2 linked regions of the Diceros bicornis minor genome follow. The protein of the gene in region 2 interacts with the protein of the main gene of each other region in a biochemical or structural test. Links are inferred from orthologs where the notes say so. Each region holds a gene or a part of one and is shown on either strand. Other genes may lie near its edges.

Region 1 (7,295 bases), on a different chromosome or scaffold from region 2:
CGCCACTCAGACAGTTCTAGGAGGCCTTTCCTGATCCGAATTCAAGTTGGGGAGCCCCGTGGTCTGCTCTCACAGCCCATCATACTTCCCACAATAAACCGTAATCTACTCAATCTTAAGGGCCCACTGCCTGCTTATTTCTCTGTAAATTCTGGGGCTGCAGAGGCCATGTCTGTCTTGTTTGCTGCTCTATTCCCAGAGCTACCCACAGGGACTGGTAAACACTCAATAACTATTTTGTAAATAGACCTACAAGTGAATATATAACATCCCCCCACAAAACATGTTGCAGGAAGAAATAAGAGAATTAAGCCCCAGTTCTTAAGGGGAGGGACTATACCTCAGTCACATCTGTCCCCTGAATCACTCAGCCTAATGCAGAAACCAGTACTGGGTAAGCAAGCCTAATTGTATACTCTTGCATTCTCTATGTCTGTTTTTCTTGTGTTCTCTCTGAACACTCACTAAAGTCTTTGTGAAAGTTCCACGCTGGCTCAGTTGACTAAGAGGAATCAAGTAAATGAAGGGTTTGCTCCCAAGTTAAGACCAGAGAATGAAAAGGGAAACAGCACACACTCTGGAGGCTGCTATGGGATGGACAGCAGTAACTGAAGGATGAGGGAGACAGAAGAGGAAAGGGTGCCTGGCAATATGTCAAACAAAAGTCTCATGACCTGGTACACATGGCAAAAAATGGCCTCTGTATCAATGGAACCCATCAGAGGAGCCATCCACAGACCCAAGACTCACCTGCTGGTGACAATGATGACATCCTCTGCGATGCAAGACATCTCCTTGATGGTTAAGTAGCACATCCGACGGAGGGTGGGCTGGAAAAGAGATGGGAAAAGCCCTATGACCCCTGGCTCAGCATGAGGGCCAGGGAAAGGAAAAGAAAACTCCAATCGACACAAAGGCAGTCCACACTGACAGATGGAGTCACCTTCCCCTGGCCCTCCCACCACCCTGTCACAGCTGTCCCCTCTTGAGGAAATCTGGGGGTGGGGCACTTACATCGTTGGACTGAAAGAGCTTGGTCATGGCAAAGAAGGCCTCCGTTGCTTCAGTGGTCCCCAGGTGCTCCCCCTATTTTAATCAAGAAAGAAGTCTCAGCCTGGGACAAAGGGGCCAGAAGGCCCTTCCTGCCAAATCAGCCCAGGATGGATCCTCAGACCGTGCAGAGGTTCCATTAAAGGCAACATATCAGAGTTGGACGCTGAGGGGACCCAGAGCTGGGCCATTGGTTATAACCACACGGTGGCTGTCAAACAGCCCTTAGGCAACTCCCAACATCCCCCAATACCGTTTTCCCCAACCTCAAGTCTCACCCTGTTACCTGGTTTATGAGGTAAAGGATCTTGGTGAGGATATGGGCACATTTCCGAGGGTTGATGGGAGTTTCGTTAAATACACGGGCCTGAGAAGAAGTGACCAAGGATATTAACCTCCAGCCCAACTTATTTCCCTTCCATTGACTCCCCTCAAGCACATTCAATGTCTGAGAAGACCTGGAATACATAAATACACTTGCCTAGACAAGCTTATTCTCATAAGGAAAGAGTTTTGGTTTTTTCCTCTTAATTCATCTATTAACAACTCCTGAAATCTTCCCTAAATATTAATTAGGAATGCGCTGACTTATTGACTAACAGATACTAGTAAACACTTGTTAACTAGAAAGAGAAATGAAGAACAACAACAACAAAAGTGTCAGCATAACGAACTCTCTTCAGGAACAAAGTTTTTCTGTCTTTCCAGGAACAGGTTTCTCTCCTATTGTTTTTTAAACCAGCAGTTTGAATGTATTAGTATTTCGATCGCATCAATCATGAACATTTATGCAATCATGAACATTTATGATGGAAGATACAGGGGAGCAAACGACACTTGCCTCCTGGAGTACTGCACTCTTCTCAAGGTGCTGGAATGGGTTGGAGCCTCCACCTACAGTCAGAGAACAGAGAAGACCAAATTCAGGTTATGACCCTGAATTCTAGCAAGATGTCCCTATCGTCTACCTAGTCAAGTTGCAACTCCTCTGGCATGGCAATCAAAGCTTTACAATCTGCCTATAGATACAACAGCTCTCCTGCAAGGGGGCTCCACTCTACCCCAAACCACTTACTCACAGTCACCTAGCGGCCCTGGGACCATCCTTCTGTTCCTCTCATAGTGTCCTGCTTTGCATTCATTTATGCAATTGGTACCTAACTGAGTCCCTACTGTGTGCAGGGACCACCATCTCCCCAGTAACTAGGGTTCCTTCACAGCACGTGTCACATTTGTAATTAATTACATGTGTGATTATCTGATCCATCTCTGCCTTCTCCACTATGCCTGCTATCATTCTAAAATTCCCAGCTCAAGCACTGAGTGTCTCACTTGTTCTACTGCAGTATCAGGACACAATACCGTGCGTGGCATGCAGTAAGCACTCAACATACGTTTGCTGAGTAAAAGAATGAAAGAGTCAGGGTTCTCAGCCACTGGACACCGGCTCCGCAGACTGCGCCCCAGTTTGGACAACACCAACGCAGCCCCGGCGAATCCCAAGAGTTCGGATGGAGAAAACAACAAAGGAGCATCTGGCTCGGTCCCCTCCCCTGACAGATGGGGAAACTGAGGCCCAGAGAGGCGCGTGACGCGCCCATGGTCACCCAGAGAATCGCAGCCCAAGCTTGCGAGTGGAAGGGCCGTGGAGCATGCTCGGGCTCTCCGAGGCCTGCCACTGACCAGCGGTGGACCTTCGCACATGCCCCTGCCGAGGGGGCCCCCTCATTGGGCCTCGGCCTCGGATAGGACAGAGGCCCCAACGGAGGGCTCCCAGGGAGGATGCTGAGAGCCTGCGCGGGGGTCCGGCCTCCCCTAGGCCTAAGCACAGGCATGGGACTCCTCACCTGATTCCTCGTCCTTCTTGTCGAATTTCTTCAGCATGGTGGTGCCGGCGAGGGCGCAACACAGTAACTCTGTCCTGGGACGTAGCAGCGACCAACAGAGACACTGCGGCGGTTCCGCACAGGCCACTTCCGGCTGGCCACGTAGCCCTGCGCTCTGCGCACGCGCACTCTGAGCTCTGCGCACGCGCATATTCCGGACGCGCAGCCCCGTCCGACGTTAACCCTGTCCCGGCCGGGGAGGCTGGGGAGCCGGGGCCGAGGGCTGGGGGGGGCGGCAGGCAGGTGGAGGCCTCAGACTGGGCACCCTAACTCTGCGCCTTGAGCCCCCCTTATCGTACAGTGGGAGTAGTAGTCGTCCCTGCCTCACTGCGTTGTGGCGGGAGTTTAAACTGGCTTTCGGAGGTGAGGCCCCGCAGCACACCGGCCCGGAGCAGACACCCAGTTAATGATACCTGTGGTTGTTATTATTGTCACATTCTCGGGAGCTCTCGCTAGCCACTCCTCACTTTCAGTCCCCTTCTCCTGCCTGATTTTTTTTCCTAGCTCGAATCACCACCTAACACTGTATTCTTACTTTATTGCTTTTATTGTCTTTTATTCTCTGCCGTGGATGACGTTGGCATGTAGCAGGTGCTCAGTAAATTCTTGAGCGAATTAATGCATGAACTTGCTCTTATAATTCATATCTGCCCACTCCCTATCACATCTGCTCTTGGTGCAAATTGTTTTGTATTTTGTTGACTTTCAGGAATCCAACTAAAATAAAAGATCAGCATAGAGACTTCAATGTTGCTTTTTTGGGTATTTATCGAGCACCTTACTAGATCCGCCGCTTAGCGCTGGGGACAGGAAGGGACTGGAAGGGGAAAACGAAACGTCACGCAGGGTGTATCTTCCTGGGGACCTACGCAGAACACCTCGAGGCCAAGGTAAGGACGGTGCGTGCAGACGTGCCAAATTGCATTTGCTACGGCAAAGCCGAGTCAGGATGACCCAGCGCTGCGACGCGTGGCACCAGCTTTCCTGGGGAGAGGGCAGCCTGAAGCCCAGCGACGAGGAGAAGGAGCCCTGGTGAGCCAGAGGTGGAGAGGCGCGGCAGGAGGCGGGGGCAGAGGCTGGCGGGTGAAGCAGAAGGGGGTGACAGCAAAGTGGGAGGAGGGGTGATGGCAGAGGGGCCACCCTTTGGGGTCAGACTTTGCGGAGGCTGAGTCTGGTGGCTGGGGAAAAGCAGGGGATGGGGAGAGGAGATCTTGTGCCAACGTGAAATTGTCAAGAGCCGGAAAGATGTTCAAAATCTTTAACCAGAAACCCCACCCCTTATCCGGGGAAATCATCCAAAAGAAGAAAATAAAGGTGCCCACTGCAGCAGTTTGCAGCAAGATAATTGAAAACACTCTAAATGCCCAGCAATAAGGGGATGATTAAGGGAATTATGGTATGTCTATTGGATGAAATATTCCACACCCTTTATAAAGGGATAAATGAATTTCTGACCACTTGGGAGGCAATATGCAAACTTCTTATAATAAATGAGACATTAAACAAGAAAAGCAGAGTGTAAAAGTATTCATAATTAAGGTGAAATAAAGATGCCTCGTGGTTAAAAACCAGAAAAGAACCCCAGAGATTTGGATTGTTGTGTTAAGATGATGAAATACAGATGAGTTGTGTTAGGTTAAAATATCCTGTTATGATATTAATTCTATAAAACTAGATACCAAGGACAATTTTGACAATACCTTTCTGAGAATGAGAATTGTGTGTTGTGACTCCAGCTCTAAGTATGTATAATTGTAGGGTTTTTATTATTTTTTAAATGTAATATACATTCTTCGTGATAGTCACTAAGTCCTTTGTAGATAATCACTAAGTCCTTTGTAGAAACAGAGAACACTGAAAGTACAGGAGAAACCAGGGACATTTTAAGACGATTGGGAGGTTGTACCAATATCCATATCCTGGTTATGATAGTATTTAATAATTTTACTAGTATTTAAAAATTGAGAAATAATCCACATACCATAAAATTCACCCTTTTAAAGTATACAATTCAGTGGTTCCTAGTATATTCAAAAAGCTGTGTACCCGTCATCACTAATTCCAGGACATTTTCATCATGCCCAAAAGAAACCTGTATGCATTAGCGGTCTTTTTCCATTCCTCACTCTCCTTCCTGATACCCCCAAAACTGTGAATCTACTTTCTGTCTCTATGGATTTGCCTATTCTGAATATTTCATATAAATGAAATCATACAATATGTGGCCTATTGTGTGTCTGGCTTCTTTCACTTAGCATAATGTTTTCAAGGTCTGTCCATGTCGTAGCATGAATCAGTACTTCATTCCTTTTTATTGCTGAATAATATTCCATTTTATGGATGTACCGTATTTTGTTTATCCATATATCAGTTGATGGACATTTGGGTTTCCACTTTTTGGCTGTGAATAATGCTGTTTCAAACATTTGTGTACAAGTTTTTGTGTGACGTATGTTTTCTCTTGAGTATATACCTAGGAGTAAAAATGCTGGGTCATATGATAACTATATTTAACTTTTTGAGAAACTGCATCAGCACCACTTTATATTCCCACCAGCAATAAGGGTTCCAATTTCTCTACATCCTTGCTCACACTTGTTATTGTCTTTTTGGTTATAGCCATCCTAGTGGGTATGATGTAGTACCTCATTGTAGTTTTAATTTGCATTTCCCTGATGGTTAAAGATGTTGAACATCTTTTCAGGTGCTTACTGGCCATTTGTATATCTTCTTTGAAGAAATGTCTATTCACATCCTTTGCCCGTTTCAAAATTGGGTTACTTATCTTTTCTTTTTTGTGTGTGTGAGGAAGACCAGCCCTGAGATAATATCCAACGCCAACCCTCCTCTTTTTTGCTGAGGAAGACTGGCCCTGGGCTAACATCCATGCCCATCTTCCTTTACTTTATGTGGGACGCCGCCACAGCATGGCTTGACAAGCAGTCATCTGTGCACGTCCGGGATCCGAACCTGCAAACCCAGGGCCACGGAAGCGGAGCACACGCACTTAACCGCTGTGCCACAGGGCCAGCTCCGGGTTACTTATCTTTTTACCTTAGAGTTGTAAGAGTTCTTTATATATTCTGGATGCTAGACCCTTATCAGATATAGGATTTGCAAATATTTTCTCCCATTCTATGGGTTGTCTTTTCACTTTCTTTATAGTGCGCTTTGAAGCACAGAAGTGTTTTATTTATTTATTTATTTAATTTATTTGTGTGTGTGTGTGTGTGTGTGTGTGTGTGTGTGTGTGAGGAAGATCAGCCCTGAGCTAACATCCATGGCAATCCTCCTCTTTTTTGCTGAGGAAGACTGGCCCTGGGCTAACATCTGTGACTATCTTCCTCCACTTCATATGGGACGCCGCCACAGCATGGCCTGACAAGCAGTGCATCAGTGCGCACCCGGGATCCAAACCCAGGCCGCCAGCAACAGAGCGCACACACTTAACCACTATGCCACAGGGCTGGCCCCCAGAAGTTTTTTATTTTGATGAGGTCCGATTTATTTATTTTTCTTTGTTGCTTGTGCTTTTGGTGTCATATATAAGAAATCATTGCTTCAGAGCCACCCCGGGGCGTAGTGGTTAAGTTTGCATGCTCTGCTTTGGCAGCCCGGGGTTCACAGGTTTGGATCCCAGGCATGGACCAATGCACTGCTTGTCAAGCCGTGCTGTGGCGGCATCCCGTATAAAGTAGAGGAAGATGGGCACGGATGTTAGCCCAGGGCCAGTCTTCCTCAGCAAAAAAAAAAGAGGAGAATTGGCATCAGGTATTAGCTCAGGGCTGATCTTCCTCACACACACACACACACAAATCATTGCTTAAACCAAGGTCATGAAGATTTATCTCTATGTTTTTTTCTAAGAGTTTTATAGTTTTACCTCTTACATTTAGGTCTTTGGTCAGTTTTGAGTTAGTTTTTGTATATGGTGTGAGATAGGGGTCCAACTTCATTCTTTTGCTTCTTGATGTCCAGTTGTCCTAGCACCATTTGTTGAAAAGACTATTCTTTCCCTTATTGAATTGTGTCATCACCTTTGTCAAAAATCAATTGACCATAAGGTATAGGTTTGTTTCTGGACTCTTGCTTCTATTCCGTTGATCTGTATACTATAGTTCTGCAAGACGTTACCATTGGGGGAAACTGGGTAAAGTACACAGCATCTCTCTGTATTATTTCTTACAACTGCTCATGAATCTACAATTATCTCAATAAAATTTTAATTTAAAAAAAGCAGAGATTATTTCTATGGTACCTTCTCACCACCCTCACCACAACCACCCCCACCCCAACGCCCCCAGCTAAAAGAACTATTGTGTTCTAAGAATTTTTCCAGCCTTCATCTGAGGCACCCAC
Region 2 (7,651 bases):
CATCTAAGTGGAGCTGTCAAGGAGGGAGCCTGATATAGACTCTGAAATTTAGGGGAGAGGTCAGGGCTGGAGATCCACATGTGGGAGTTATCGGCCCATGGATGCATTTAAAGTCATGAGACTGGGTGAGATCACCCAGAGTGCAGCGCAGAGGTTCCAGAACGAGGTCCTGGGGGACTCTAGAACTTAGAATCACTCTCTGTGTCAAAGAGTATGACACGACAAATATTGCCAAATTGCTTTCCAAAAGGGTCTTTTGTGTCTTCACGGAACCCATTTTGTTTTAGCTATTTAAAGACACATTGAGTGGCACTGTACACAAGGATGGGCAGGGACACCAGAGTTAGGGATCCTTGACTGCTCTTGCATTGGAGCTGGGGAGCCTCAAGTCACACCGGAGGATTATGCTGGTTACAGGAGGTGTCCAGAGGGCCAAAGCGCTTCAAGGACTCCCAACCAGAGAATCATCCAGCAAGCTTATTACAAATGCAGATTTTTAATAAGAGCTCCTGATTCACTGTCTGGGGTGAGGCATATTTTAAACATGCTCCCTGGGCCGGCCCCGTGGCTTAGCGGTTAAGTGCGCGCACTCCACCGCTGGCGGCCCAGGTTCGGATCCTGGGCGTGTATTGACACACAGCTTCTCCGGCCATGCTGAGGCCGCGTCCCACATGCAGCACCTAGAAGGATGTGCAGCTATGACATGCAACTATCTGCTGGGGCTTTGGGGAAAATAAATAAATAAATATTATAAAAATAAACAAATAAAAAAAAAATAAACATGCTCCCTCTCAAACAAAGGAAAGGTTGAGAAACTTGTGGCTTAGGGATACACTGGGTAGAGGGTATGTCCTTGTGACAGCTCTTCACCTCTGGAGGCTCCAGGGCCTTCAGGAATCTTAGGTGGGTCTGGCTGGGGAAGTTTCAGGATGATGGGATGACAGACTACTGAGCCAGGAAGAAACATTTTCTCTCCTTGTGGGACAGTTTCCTTTGCTCTCCAATTCAGAAGGAGGCCTTTTCCCCACACAGATGCAAACAGTACCTTCTGTAATGCAGATGCAGAGATTAAAAGTTTGAGTTCCCCTGAAGTATCTACTCTGCCCTCTAGTTCCACAGCGTAGAGGAGAGAATGTTTGTGTTTTTGTTTTGTGTCCTTATACGGAAACAAGAATAGATTTTTCAATCAAAAAAAAGATATGCAGGGGCCGGCCGATGGCGCAAACAGTTAAGTGCGCACGCTCCGCTGCGGTGGCCCGGGGTTTGCTGGTTCGGATCCCAGGCACACACCGACACATCGCTTGGCAAGCCATGCTGTGGCGGCGTCCCATACAAAGTGGAGGAAGATGGGCATGGATGTTAGCCCACAGCCAGTCTTCCTCAGCAAAAAGAGGAGGATTGGCAGATATTAGCTCAGGGCCGATCTTCCTCACCAAAAAAAAAAAAAAAAGATATACATATTGTTGGTGAAACTGAAATCGTACCTACACTTTAGATACATTGTGGATTAAATAAATTTGTGTGAAAATAGCTAAAGAATAACAGAAGGAATTTACTGTTAGGCCTTCTACTAGGAACTAATGAATCAATCCTGCATTCACTGAACCATTATTTATTGTGCCTTCTAAGTGCTGGGCACTATTTTAGATTCAGAAGACAAAGCAGTGGACAAAATAGACAAAAATCCCTGCCCCTCACAAAACAGATATCCTAGTTAGGGAGACAGATTAACAAACATGATAAATAAATACAGTCATCCCCTCTTCCACGTGGAGGATACATTCCGAGACCCCCAGTGGATGCCTGAAATGGCACATAGTACTGAATCCTATAGTACTTTTTTCCTATACATACAAATTTGAGGTGTGACGGCAAAATTAGCACCAATTTCTTTTTCCTTCTTTACAATTTCATGGATAGAAGATTCATTCTTACCATAGTTCTTAGCAACCTCAGCATACCAGGTTCTTATTTTTTCTTATTAAGTCGAGAACTATCACTTTTTCACTTACAGGAAGCACTTTATGGCTTCTCTTGGCATATCCAAATTGCCAGCATCACTACTCTTGCGCTTTGGGACCATTATTAAGTAAAATAAGGGTTATTTGAACACAAGCACTGCGATACCTCAACAGTCAATCTGATAACGGAGACGGCTACTAAGTCACTATCTGACGAGTGGTGTACACAGCGTGTATACGCTGGACAAAGCGATGATTCATGTCCTGGGCACGCTATTACTCAGAATGGCGGGCAATTTAAAACTTGCAAATTGTTTATTTCTGGAATTTTCCATGTAATATTTTCAGACCACTGTTGACCGAGGGTAACTGAAACTATAGAAAGCAAAACTGCAGATAAGGGGGGACTACTGTAAAATGTATGCTGTACTAGATAGTTGTGAGTGCTAAGGAGCGGAACATAAAGGAGGGAAGCAAAACAGGAAAGAGTTGGGGGTCTGGATAAGTGAGAATATAGGACAAGAAAGGACTTGAGAGCTGTGATTCAGGAAAGTAACTCAATTTCTCTAAGTCTCAGTTTCTTTATCTGCAAAATAATAAATAATAGCGCCTTCCTGAAAAAGGCTCAGGGCCTCAGACTGACTGTGTCACCTTACTGTGAGACTTTGGGGACAAAAGTTCTTTGGCCTCTCAGAACCTAAGTTTCCTCATCTGTAAAAGGAACAGACTTGCCCAGCCTATGTCTCATGGCTTTTGAAAATGTCAAATGAGATAATTAATGTATGAAAAAATATTTTAAAACATATAAGCTATTACAGAAATGTAAGATAGGAGGAGCTGGCCCCGTGGCTTAGCGGTTAAGTGCGCGCGCTCCACTACTGGCGGCCCGGGTTCGGATCCCCGGCGCGCACCGACGCACCGCTTCTCCGGCCATGCTGAGGCCGCGTCCCACATACAGCAACTAGAAGGATGTTCAACTATGACATACAACTATCTACTGGGGCTTTGGGGATAAAAAGGGGAAAAAAAAAAAAGAGGAGGATTGGCAATAGATGTTAGCTCAGGGCCCATCTTCCTCAGCAAAAAGAGGAGGATTGGCATGGATGTTAGCTCAGGGCTGATCTTCCTTACAAAAAAAAAAAAAAATGTAAGATAGAAATTTATGGGTTGCAAAGCTCTTGCAGATGGTCACCAGAGCCTCAGGACTCTGAGAAAACAATGAATTAGATAACTGCTTGATACTGATTCCCTGCACTGGCAGAGAAAAGGCTAACACAAATTATCAGGATGGACTGAGTAGACCAGCAATCTTATCTTACATCAGGGATAAAATAATCAAACTAAATGTTCCTAAGTGGACACCTCATAAAATAATTTTTATATGACATTTGTCAAATTTTAAAATGCTTTACAGCTCCTTTATGTTTGTTCTTGTTTTGTTTGTCGGACTTCAGTTCCAGGAAAAGAACTAGATGGACAAAGGAGTTACAAATACAGAGCAATCATTTAAATTACTAAGAGCAGATAGTCCATCTTCTGGGTTTTTCTGCAGATGCTCAACAAATATTAATCAAAGCAGATTATTCCAAACATAGGCTGTTGTGTATTCCTTTTTCATCTTCATATTTTCTGCAGCCATGAAAATTTGATAGCATCCCAGTGGTGGTGTGTTAAATCAACAAACATGTTGGTATACCTGCATGGTATAGTGGCTGGCACATACTAGGTATTCAGCAAATATTTGTTAAACTAAAGCAAGAATGATTACTGTGTAAATTTGCTTACTATAGACCAGCCAATTTGATTCCTAAAGTGTTTGGGCATTTAACACACAGAAATACTTGCTTTCCCTTGACGACACTTACCTGGTAAACCGCATTAGGTCCATCTCTCAGGCTGGACTAAAACAGAGTGTTTTATTCAATTTAAATACAAAATCCAAATTTAGTTTGAGTATTGCCTACCATCGTAGGCGCTCAATGTTTGCTAAATAAGATACACATTCAGAAAGCAGTTACTCCAGCCCAAATACCCCGCTCAAGAGCATGAACTGGACGCCTGCCCAGCTCACATTCACCAGGAGACCTCTACATTCTCTGAGGTACTGGCTCCCCTCGCCTGATAACCGAATTATAATCTGTCGTTCAGCCTCTCGACGTTTTCCTCTCAAGCGCCCAACGTCCCAGCTGTCACCAAGGCGGCGTGGTGCTGGGACAGCTCACTCTCCACCTCCGCCGCAGCCCCCGCCCCGCGCGCTTCCGCGGCCGATGGGCGGGCCCAGCGAAGTGCCTTGTGGCTGTTTCCTATTGGGACTTGGTTGCTATGGTATCACCGACCTTAAAACACGACCGGCACTGCTTCCGGAAGTTAAAGGAGAATTACTTCCAGGGCTGCACATACTTGCTATGGCCAACTGAGCCGTCACTAATGTCAAAAAAAATAAAACTTTTGCGGGAAACTCCTAGAAAATCTTACTTAACCACTTTAATTTGTGGTACAACGTGTTATTATATCCTTTCTTCCCTTTTAAAATATTTACAATATAGTCTTCTTTTATTTGCCAGTCTCCAAAATGGCGCTGACGGCATGGGAAGGTCAGAGGTGAGTCACGTGGGCCGTCCCGGTTCCGGCGCGGTAGAGGCCCGGGGTGGTGAACAGTCTCCGGCACCATGTCTGGTTTGTCTGGCCCACAGGCGCACGGTGGCCCTTGCCGGTTAGCGTTGCTGCTTTTACTCCTGCTCGGCCCCAGCTCGGTCCTCGCCATCTCCTTCCATCTGCCCGTTAACGCCCGCAAGTGCCTCCGCGAGGAGATCCACAAGGACCTGCTGGTGACCGGCGCGTACGAGATCACCGACCAGTCTGGGGGCGCTGGCGGCCTGCGCACCCACCTCAAGGTGCGGCTCCGGGCGGCGCGGGGCGGGGAGGGCAGACCGCAGGCGTCGGCCAGCCGAGGCCGAGGATGCGGGGGGTGTGGGGGAGGTCCGGCGGGCGGAGGCCTGGAGGGCGGCGTGGCCTCCCCCGAGCGCGAAGGGCGCGCCGTGGAGACCGCCCCCTCACCCTGCTCGTTGGCGTTCGCGGGGCGGAGCTGGGCGCCAAAGCCCCGGGAACCCGTGGAAGGGCCGCGAGGCCTCGGCAGATGTGGCGACAGCTGAGCTAGGGCGGCCTAGACTTTGGGTCGTGGTCAAGGTCCTATACCAGTTCTGGTCTGAGGTACCTTGAGCTGTAGCTTGGTTTTCCAAAGAAGTCTTTGGATGTTGAGTATTTCTGGGGATTGGCGTCATAAGACACATTGATACCTGCAGGAGAATAATGGACGCACTGAAGCTTACTGTGAATAACAAAACCTATTATTGTTGGAGCTTTAGTTGTGTGTCAGGTCCTGTGCTACCTTACGTATATTACCGTTTAGTTCACACACTACCCTATGAAGTAGGTACTGTTCGTCTCATTGTACACATGAGGAGACTGAGGCTCTGGTAGGTAGTAGAATAAACTGATGTCAGAGCGGGAATTGATTCTTAGTTTGGGAGTTAAGTAAGGTGAAGGAAAAGTGCTACAATCTTACTCTCTCTTGGCTTTTTATTTTTAATTCCTGTGATTGATTAAAATTAATTATTGGTCACAGAATGGTCTCAGTCTCTAGTCATTTTCTGGTACCCCAGAATCTGGACTTGGCCAAGTTTTATGTAAATTTCGACGATACTCTTGGATAGTGACAACTACTACCATGATGCCAATTTGGTCCCATTTTGCAGTTAGGATGACAGGGCCTAATCTTTGAAACTTTATTATGGTTTGATATCAGTCAAGATTTGATTGCGTTTTAGGTAACTTGATTCATTCACGGTAAGCATGTGTTTTGTTTTTAACAGAATGGGTTTTAGATCAAATAGGAAAAAACATTTTTACTTTTTAATAGAGCTTCAGGTATAATAAGACCATAATTTATGTTTAAGGTATTGGAACCCAGTAGTGGTAATAGACGCAATTTACTTATACTTTATTTAGGAGATTAAAAAAACATTGTTTTCAGGGGTATTGCTGAGTGACCCATCCTTTTATTACTTTCTTCAGGTACCAAACTTCTGTCTGGACAAGACAGCTGTGATGGCATAATTTTGGAGACATAACATTTTGGGGGTCATGCTTCTGGCTCTTCAAAGTGTAGTGCATAGAATCAGAGAATTTGACTGATGAAAGAGACTTTACTCTTATCTCCAGTGTTGCCCCCTCTGATTTGTACTTACATTTTAAAACCCTTCAGTGGCTCACTGTTGCTCATCTGATAAAGTTTAAATTTCCCAGCATGCTCTGTAGTGCTCTTCATGGTCTGTTCCTGAAACTGTTTATACTTTGTCACTCCCTACATTGCATTTTGCATATGAGCCACCCTGAACAGTACCCTAAACTCACACAAATTTTTCTTAATTGTAACTACTTATGTTTATACCTTGTCTTCTTTATTAGACTGTTAGTATCCTGAGGACAGGAATTATTTTCATGTTTGTATTTTCCAGAATGTCAAGCGTACTGCCTTGCTTCTAGTAAGCACTTAATACAGAATGCATAGTGTAGCATGACCTTGTGGGATTTACATCTCTATCCAAGACTGCTGAAGGGGCTTCAACAGCAGGAGTCTGCACATCTGTTCGCTAGCATTTTGCCCGTCACTCTGTTCCTTTTGCCGTGTCTGCTCTGTTCTCCTGTGACTAACCAGTTTAGTTGGACTACTCCTGGCGTCCTAAACCCAAATGCCAAGTAGGTTACATAAGTGAATGAATTGGGCCAGGTATAAGAAAGACAGCAGCAGTGGTGATAAATGGGGGATAATTGGGAGTAGGGGAAACTGTTAATTTGGAGTGGCCAGTACTCATCTCTTGTTGTCGGCCTTGTTGCCACATCTGATTTTTCAGATGAAGTCAGAAATCCAGATTTTGATGTGAAAGCTCCTGATTTTTAAATGTCACCAACTAATTCAAATTGGTTTTGGCATTGGTTTGTTTTCAGTTTTATAGAGAAGAGTACGGTCAGTCCAACATTTACACATGACCCAGATTCAACAGTTATCAGGGTCGTGCCACACTTGTGTCTTAATTGCTTCCGCCTTCTCATTTTATGCTGAATCGTTTTATTTTTTTTTTAAAGATTTTATTTATTTATTTATTCCCCCCCCCCCCCAAAGCCCCAGTAGATAGTCGTATGTCATAGCTGCACATCCTTATAGTTGCTGTATGTGGGACACGGCCTCAGCATGGCCGGAGAAGCGGTGCATCGGTGCGCACCCGGGATCCGAACCTGGGTCGCCAGCAGTGGAGCGCGCTCACTTAACCGCTAAGCCACGGGGCTGGCCCTGCTGAATCGTTTTAAAGTAAATCCCAGATATCATGGTATTTCAGTCCTGCATACTTCAGCGTGAATCTCTTAAAAAATATGAGCATAATCACAGTGTTATGTGTCTCTAATCACATCTCACAAAATTAACAATAATTCCTTAATGCCATCTAATAATACCCAGTTCATATTCAAATTTCTTCACTTGTCTCAAAAATATCCATTTAAAATTAATCTGTTGTATTTCTCAAGTCTCTTTAATCTAGAGCAATCCACTCTTCCTTTTTTTCATGCTTGTTGTGTTGTTGGAGTCAGTTGTCCTTAAAGAATGTCCTACATTTTGGATTTGTCTGTTTGCT

The links. The genes of interacting proteins can lie anywhere in the genome.
Region 1: the proteins of TMED10 (region 2) and COPG1 form a complex in vitro, tested with the Homo sapiens proteins (2 studies listed by BioGRID). The link is inferred for Diceros bicornis minor from reciprocal best matches to the Homo sapiens genes TMED10 and COPG1.

The regions. Positions count from the first base shown.
Region 1 is NC_080741.1:89,474,247-89,481,541, reverse strand, and holds the start of COPG1 (coatomer subunit gamma-1), read right to left. Parts: upstream 3,020-7,295; 5' UTR 2,935-3,019; coding exon 2,898-2,934; intron 1,945-2,897; coding exon 1,892-1,944; intron 1,418-1,891; coding exon 1,337-1,417; intron 1,087-1,336; coding exon 1,015-1,086; intron 831-1,014; coding exon 751-830; intron 1-750. UniProt on the Homo sapiens protein: The coatomer is a cytosolic protein complex that binds to dilysine motifs and reversibly associates with Golgi non-clathrin-coated vesicles, which further mediate biosynthetic protein transport from the ER, via the Golgi up to the trans Golgi network.
Region 2 is NC_080763.1:23,112,659-23,120,309, reverse strand, and holds the start of TMED10 (transmembrane emp24 domain-containing protein 10), read left to right. Parts: upstream 1-4,595; 5' UTR 4,596-4,630; coding exon 4,631-4,855; intron 4,856-7,651. UniProt on the Homo sapiens protein: Cargo receptor involved in protein vesicular trafficking and quality control in the endoplasmic reticulum (ER) and Golgi.